2 linked regions of the Oryzias latipes genome follow. The protein of the gene in region 2 interacts with the protein of the main gene of each other region in a pairwise test. Links are inferred from orthologs where the notes say so. Each region holds a gene or a part of one and is shown on either strand. Other genes may lie near its edges.

Region 1 (4,145 bases), on a different chromosome or scaffold from region 2:
ACAGACAACTGAAAAATCCAATGTTAGCTTTGGAAGCGTTTTCTTTTTCTTGTGAAGAAAATATTGGAAAACCAGAGTCATGTGGGAAAAGTAAAGTTTGTGTTCTTCTACATGACGTCTTTAGTGGCCATCCTGCAGACGACGGCGTCCAGCAGGCCGCCGCTCTCCTCCTGAGGACTCACTTTGTACAGCTGTGGGGGGGGGGGGGGGCAGAAACGCCACGTTACAGAAAGACAACAGGAAGACGTTCAGAACATGAGCTGAAGACACACGGCACTAAATCAGCTCTAAAAATGTTGGAAATGGGATTATTTAGGATATGGAAAATGGACCCAGACTGACAAAATAACAGCTGGAAACACTAATTCATGCTACAAAAAGTAAATATTCCTCATATTTTACAGCAGAGACATTCCAGGTTTGACTTTTCTCTGCAGTTCATCCCAAACAACCGCCGTGGAAACGACGTCTAGAATTTGATGAAGGCTCCATGTTTTGGATCATCTTCCTCCTTCACCTTTACTTCCTCCCAACGTGTTCAAGTAACCAAGACCACAAACCCATGATGACCCCTCCACCGTGTTTGACAGTCTGTTTTTTTCTGTACTCTATTGTTATTGAATTTGTGACATCACCCACCCCACATGAAAAAAGTCATGACTGGAACTGTGACATGACGAAACATTCATCCATAAAAGAAGGATTTTCAGCGTTTCTGTTACATTTTAGGGTCAAACCCTGATTTTTCAAACTAAACTTACGTCTTCTTTTCACTCCAAGTTAAATTCGTTTCTTAATTAGAATGTTGTAAAAGTATTATTCTATTGTTGAAAATGATTCAGATATTTGGAATCGACCGCTTAATTGTGTGCGCCTTGATGCACTTTACGTTTAAAAAGCAGAAATCTGAATCCAAAGCCGCTTTGAGGATCCGTTTAGCTCTGCTGCAGCTCAGCAGAAAAACTGAGCTGAAATGTTGCAAACAGCTTTTTTCAAACTCCACACGGAAATTCTCCCAACCTTCAAGGAAAACTTTGACACTAGAGAAACTTCTCATCTGATCTTTAGGGTTTGAGCTCATTTCTCCAGATTTTTACTGCAATCAAAGTCAACACAAATCTTTTTTCTTATGCAATTCAATCACAATCAAGTATTTGAATGAATGTTTTATCTTTAAAGTAAGTCAGCAATAGAGTCGGATTGTTTTCTTTCTTCCATTTTCTTCACGCTTTACTCATGAAGCTCTGATGGAAACCTGCTGTCATTCCCACAAAAACCCAGCAGACGTTAGGAAAACCTTTCTGATCTTTGCAGGATCCGAAAAGGAGGAAAACTCTTCCACTGGGACCTCCTGCCCGTCCACCCTGATGGCGATGTGGGACAAGACCTCGGAGTCGTCTCTGCTGTGAACCACGACCACCAGAAGGGAGCGGTCCTGATGGGAGATCCCGAAGCGTTTGAAGGCCTCTGAAATCTGCAGGTGAGAGCAGGATCAACGTTTGAGTGACCCTAATGAGACAACAATCCATGGTTTATGTAACAGTGGTGCTGTTGAAAGGTTAGCGCCCCCCCTCAGTGAAACCAACTGATGTTGCTGCAGACATCCAGGTTTTTAGGTCCACTTCAGGCTTCTGTCTGTCCAACTAAACTTAGAGCTGCTTAGATTCTGAAGTCCGGCTCCAGACTTCAGGTGTTGTCTGGATGCGGTCCCTCCATCCCCCCTTCTTCAAAAGAAGAGAAATGACAGGACCTTCTCCAAACTCTACTTCTACAGGCCAACCTTACGGAGGATCAGCTGAGCCCAGTGACTGATGGACTGAACCATCAGCTGAGAGGACGAAGAGGAGCCGCAGCTCAGACTAACTTCCTGTTTTTCTGGTTTTGTTTTTATGTTTGGTGGCATGTGTGAGTCTGAATAAGTGTCAATCATTGAGAGCTCTAAAGACGCTGCTTTCTGGTAGTCCTTCAGTTCCACCGACTGAAAACCTTCTTCTGTTTCTCCACGACCGTCTGCTGCTTCATCCTGGAGGCCTCAGAGCAAACGCACAGGTGGATCTTTAAAGTCTGTTCCTGCAGGCCGTAGATGCCCATTCCCTCATAGAACTGCTTAGTGCTTCATCCAGTGTAAAGATATGAAGTTATTTACTGTATAGTATTTGAGAAGTTCATTATAAAAGGATTAATCATTGAATAAAACTAGATGAACAAACTAGTAGATCACTGTTCCTCACAGTATTATTTAGTACTTATAAACATCATTCTATTTAAAAGGAGAAAACAGACTTTTTGCTTGAGCAGACCAACTGTAGCCCAGAGTTTTTGTCTTGACAGGGAAATCAAGTGTTTGCTCTCGGTCACGTGACTCACATTATTGGTCGGTGAGAGGTTGAAGATGATCTCCGAGTTCAAACTTCTCGTCTTCATTTTTCCGATGCTTTGTGAATGAATGGCTTTATTTGCAGCCAGCAGCGCCTGGAAAGGACTTAGCAGCTGCAGACGGAAGCAGAATGCGTCAACCCACCGGGCATAGCAGCATGTTTGACCGCTCTGTGCTCACCATGGTCGGGTTGATGAGAGCGGCGTGGATGTTCCCCTCCACGGCGTCCTGCCTCAGCTCCGCCGCGTTATTTACGTCTTTAAAAAGCATCTGAGTCACGTGCTGCTCAGGGAAAAGCTCCAGCTTTTGTGTGAAATGCATGTGTGTATTTATTTAGGACCTAAAAGGTTGGAAAACTACAAAAAAACAACCGGCATGGAGCTCCGTGTGACGGGGTTCCGGCGGAACCGTTTCGCTGTTACACCGCTCCAAAATCTCATTTTGCCATTTTTCTGTCCCGTTGACTGTATTCGGTTTTGTGAATTTTTTCTTAATCTATATGAAATATGAAAATATCTACATGATACATTTTGCGTTTTTAGTGAAAATAAATAACTTGTAAATCCACCAGGGGGAACTATTTATGTAAGCAATTCGAACGTTTTTAAGCGACGGACATCCAGCTGTCGACAGCTCTTCCGTTGACTCTCCTGGGACAGTTTCACAGCTTTTCCTTCTAAATTCTTTCATTTTTCTTTGGTTTTTAAACATAAATTGAGTCTTGATGCGCCTTCCTCAGCTTTATCACCGCTAGCTTTGTGCTCGTAGTCGCTTTTGCGTGTTTCCGGGTCGAATATGGAGAAGTTTGAAGGCTACGTGTTCGCTGCTCTGTGCAGCACCAACTTCTTGGTTTCGTGTCTGATCTTCTCCAAAGTCACCAGAGAGCAGAGGGAGGCTTACATGGACGAGATCTTCCATGTTCCGCAAGCCCAGAAGTACTGCCAGGGAAAATTCAGCGAGGTAAAAGACTGTCTTTGTTTGTTTGTTTGATGAAGGGGGAGGGGCTCCATCATGGGGATTAAGGTCAGAGATGAGGCTGCTGTCAGGTCCAGATGAGGCATGTTGTCCATGACAGACACAGACAAATGCATTAGTGCAACACTGTCCACATGAACTACTTAGACAAAAACTAATACAACATAAATAAAGTCTTTTATTGTGAAGAATCATGACATATTTTTAAACTTGTTTTACTTGTATTTTTTCAGAATTTTGGGGCCACAGAAAAGTAAAATTACGACATTTAAAGTTGTAATTTTTTTGACTTTTTTCCAAGTGAGCAAACAGTCCAGCAGCACAGCAGACCGAATAAACTCAATTTGGTCAAACTGTCTTGGATTTGAACATCTGAGCTGTTTATTGATGACGTTACAAATGTTTAGAAGCTCCGATGTTGGATTGACGGTTTATGAACGTATTCATTAATGGGGGGGCTGGCAGCATCTCTGCAGCCCGTCATTGAAGACATCAGTATCCCTGCAGCCGTCCACTTCCAAATAAGATACGATACATATCCTGATATTTTACCGGAACACGTTTTCCATTTTATTTTTGGAGTCTGACTTAGAAAAAAACTCTACCTGAATGTCAGTACGTCTCCCATTGTAATAAAATGGGCAAAGTCAGTTTATTCAATGATCCCAATGTTAAGCATTGCAACTGGATCTCATATATAAGTTGCTTTTATCCAGGAAATTCATTGTGCTTTTATTTTGGTAACATAAAATATATAAAGGGAACAGTCAACATTGTCTGATTTCCAATACAA
Region 2 (4,234 bases):
CTTCAGCTAGAGCCGAAATGTAGCTCAGGCCAAAGTCGATGAGGACCAACTCAAGCTCCGAGCTGTCGGCGCTGCGTCGCAGCAGCATGTTGGAGGTGGTCAGGTCTCCGTGGATCACGTCTTCGTCGTGCATTTTGGCTAAGATCCGCCCCGTGAGCTCAGCCAGCCGCTGCAGCTCTTGGTCCGACCGCGAGGACGACCGCCGGGCGGATGCGATGAAGTCCCGCACAGTCTGAGAGTCAACTATTTCCTCCAGGAAAATACAGCTGCAACTGTAATCCACAAAGTAGACGACGGGGGTGGAGATGCCTGTGGAGGAGAAACAAGTCTTTGACCGGACGCTGCAAAAGGTCAGAGGCCAAGTAAATATCACAGTTTGCCTTGATCCTGTCTGTAAATGATAGGATAGAGACGACTTGAGTTGGTTATGGAAGGATTAATGGAAGATGAAGTGTGCTTTATCAGAAATGAATGCACTTCATGGAAGCAACCGTCCGGTTGCTTCCATGAAGTGCATTCATTTCTGATAAAGCACACTTCCAAGGTCATCAACCCGCTTATACTATGGTCACCTGCAAAAGAAATAAATGTTCAACCAGTTTTTAGTCCTTTACTCTTGTTATTTTTTCAGTTTGGATCACTTTTTAAACAATAAAGCATCAGTTCAGAGGGAAAGCTCTCCTCTTGCCGCTCGTCTTTGTCCAGACGATGAAGATTACGTTTGTTTTAAAGAAGCCAGCGGAGTGATACAGAACATTTCAGCTGGAACTACTTTTTTAGATTCTCACTTTTTAGTCCACACCCAGCAGGCGATCAGAATGGAGTGTTCACCCGGACCGTGGTTTAATCCTAAATAAATGAGAACATTTAAATGCAAAATGTTCCTCTTTTAATCAAATGTATTTCTTAGAACTTGGATAAAACGGATCCTCTGCTCTTCACACTGAGGGAAGAAAAAAACCCGTCTTCTGTTCGCAATTCTTTGTTCTCACCGTCTGAACAAAAATGCCCCCCCTCCCCACCCCATACTTAAAACACCCCTAGTGCCCAGTGAAAATGAATTATGCGCATCGTAAAAAATACAACATCAACAAAACGTTGAAATAAGAAGATGTAGATTTTGAACGGCATCTTTTATCCTGTTTTTAGGCTGTTTTTGTTCTGATTTCATGTAAAAATGAATCAACTAGAGACAGAATCGGGGGGGGGGGGGGGGGGGGGGGCATTTTCTGTCCATCTGCTCCCCTTCAGTGAATCTGTCCTCGTTTTCTCAGCAGCTCTGAATCTTTGGTCCAGACTACAGGAGACGGACTGAAACCTCTCGTCTCATGGCGGCGTTTTTCAGCAGGAAAACACAAACGTCTCTTTTTTTTTTTTTTTTTTTTTTGCCTTAATGCTGCACATACTGGTAAAACCAAAAAAGGAAGAGAGGAAAGGAAGAGCAAAAAAAGAAACACCAACTCCAGTCGAGACAATCATTATTTTCGCTGCTTTTCATGACAGATTTTGACCCTTTTGGCTTGCCATAAAGGTGCAGGCTGTTGGAGCGCAGCCTGGCTGCTAGAAACGATAAATCCTGAGTGTATCAGGAGGACAGGAGTGCTGCGTATCCTTACAAAGACTTCATGAGACATTTAGGACACGCGCATCAAACAATCGCACGTTTCATTCTCCTGACGTCCTTGAAGTGGCCGAACGAGCCTCAGTGGAAGTGAACGCCACACCTGCGCTCACCTGTGGACCCAGACAACCAGAGAGCCACGGCCTGTGAAGTGACTTAGGCTAAAGTGACCAGCGTAGTGTCTCCGGCAGTCAGAGCTAATATAATAATAAAAACATTGTTTGTGTCTCTCCATTAAGTTTAGGAATAAGAAAAAAATCAACAGGAAATAAGTAACGTCAACTGCCGTCTAGCGTGAGAAAAAGGTGTGGCGTGAGAGTTGGCAGCCACAAAATAACCTGGGAAACTAGAGATATTTTTAGTAAATTAACTGAGACATCCAATCTGAATTACCTGAATAAGTTGCACACAGGTCGTCACACGGTTGCATTTTAAGATGTGTGACTGTAGTTTACGAATGTTCTGACATGGAATTCTTGGGTTTATAATTTTTTCTTGTTAACAAAAAACAATTTGTTCATTCTGCAGTTAAAAAATGACAACATTTCCAACTCTGCTTTGTGTTTTTCTACCGCTCAGGTGTCCTGTGCAGTTGTGTAGTAAAATAAAGTAAAAACTTTGTTGCTTTTGCTAAACCAAACTGTGTTAAAGGTGAATTATTCCAGGAAATTGTAAAGTTCTACAAATTGTTAAAGCGGTCCAGGACCACAAAGGGTTAATGCTGACCCGGATTGAGCAGACAGAACCTTTCGCCTCGTGCGTGGACAAACCCCGCGAGGCCTCGTGGAGCTTTTCGTGGTGAACTAGAGAGCAGGACGTCCTGGACGGTCCTAGGCTGCAGTGGCCTCCGCCTGGGGGAAGCAGAGGCGTCTGAAGCCGGGGATCGGCACCGCGGCGGCGGCGGGACTCACCTGCTCTCCGGCAGCGGGCGATGCTGCGGACCTCCTGCATGGTTCTGCGGTGCGTCAGTTTTTCATCCAGCTCTGGGTGTCGGTAGCGTTTCGGAAACCGTTGTTTGATCACGGCGGGTTTTCCCAGGAACTCGGCCCGGTAGACGCGGCCCTCCGCGCCCTGCTTCAGCATCTCTGCGCCCCGCAGCAGCTGGAGGGTCGCCATGTTGGCGGCGGCTTCTTCTTCTTCTTCTGGCGTTTTACTGGCGGTTTGAGGTTTGCCGCCACCTACTGGACTGGAATGTTCCTGGAATGTTCTAAATTATCTTTTTATATTAGCATTGCCTGTCTAAAAAAAAACACATCTACGTTCTTTTCCACAGATTCATCATGTCGTTTTTTTAGATTTTGTCATATTTCTCTGTAACTAGAAGGAGCTGCATCTCCAGAAGAAAATATGGGTTGATGCTGTATCGCTGAATGAAAAGGAAGCGTAAAGGGGAATCATTGGAAAATAAATAAATGAATTAAAAAAAGATCAAAGTTAACCATAAATAAAGTTAAAACAGCACAATAACAAAAAACATATTTTTGTGATAAATGCCAGAGCCGGGTATCGAACCAGTGAGCTTCTGCACCAAGGATCCCTCATGTTTTTCAACGGAGGCCAAAATCCTGGAATATCTGGAAAAGTTCAAGGATTTGAAAGTCCAAAAGTTGTAGCTGGAAAGAGCTGAATATTTGAATAGTTGAATGGTTAAAATAGATGAAAAATTGTAGGAGTTAAGCGGAAAAAATGGCCAAAGATACTAGAATAAAGAAAGAGAAACAGGAAAACAATGATTGAAGGTTTTATAGCATTCAACCCAATAGTGGAATTACGGTCAGAACATATCACCATGCACGACAACTACAATGATCTGGGGCCTCATTCATAAACGTTGCGTACGCACAAAAGAAGGCGTACGCCACTCTCTACGCAATAGTTGAGATTTATAAAAAGCAAACTTGAGGGGAAAATGTGCGGTCCTTCACGCTCTGACCCAGGCGTACGCACAAAAACGGGTGAAATGAGAAACGGTGACGCCGTCGGCAGATGGAACAAACACGTGAAAGTGAAAATGACAATACTGCCTCTCATAAATAACATGAAGACTTCACAAAGCAAGTCTGACAATTAACAGCTACACCAACATCCGTTTGATCGATCAGCAGTGAAACAAACAAAAAAGATCAAACGAAAATTACAACAGAAATTCAAATGAACACTTATTTGCAGAAAGAAAAGTGAAATATGTTCTGCAATATTGGCATGTTGTGCAATTCATCCTCATAAATAATATAGTTAACAGAACGAAATAATGTACAAAACTGATATTCTCGTCAATGTGTCCGTCTGGCGGAGCAGATATAGGTGCGGGCGTTCGGACGGACGGACAGACGCACTAATTGTCCACTGGGGAAAGTTGTTTTCATATTAAAACATTTCTCCATAAGCTACAGAATTATGGTATTCATGCATATGCCTTTAGTTTGTTTTATTTTTGATAAACAATGTATGGCGTATGTCTCAACCATTCAGAAAGCAACAAGAAATTACATTTGCGCTGATCAATTTCCCATTTCCACGTCGATTATTCCCGACATCTGTAGCTTTTCAGATGTAATTAAATGGAGGGAAATAAAATGCCCCATCACAATGCGTAATGACGCACAATGGCTG

The links.
Region 1: the proteins of tp53rk (region 2) and tprkb interact in binary tests that used the Homo sapiens proteins (3 or more experiments, as listed by UniProt). The link is inferred for Oryzias latipes from reciprocal best matches to the Homo sapiens genes TP53RK and TPRKB.

Annotation. Positions count from the first base shown.
Region 1 is NC_019881.2:365,703-369,847, forward strand, and holds the start of tprkb (EKC/KEOPS complex subunit TPRKB), read right to left. Parts: upstream 2,807-4,145; 5' UTR 2,699-2,806; coding exon 2,558-2,698; intron 2,491-2,557; coding exon 2,368-2,490; intron 1,475-2,367; coding exon 1,298-1,474; intron 192-1,297; coding exon 108-191; 3' UTR 1-107. Other genes in the region: alg10 (dol-P-Glc:Glc(2)Man(9)GlcNAc(2)-PP-Dol alpha-1,2-glucosyltransferase), read left to right, coding at 3,173-3,337. UniProt on the Homo sapiens protein: Component of the EKC/KEOPS complex that is required for the formation of a threonylcarbamoyl group on adenosine at position 37 (t(6)A37) in tRNAs that read codons beginning with adenine.
Region 2 is NC_019879.2:917,676-921,909, reverse strand, and holds the start of tp53rk (TP53-regulating kinase), read right to left. Parts: upstream 2,810-4,234; 5' UTR 2,738-2,809; coding exon 2,533-2,737; intron 310-2,532; coding exon 1-309.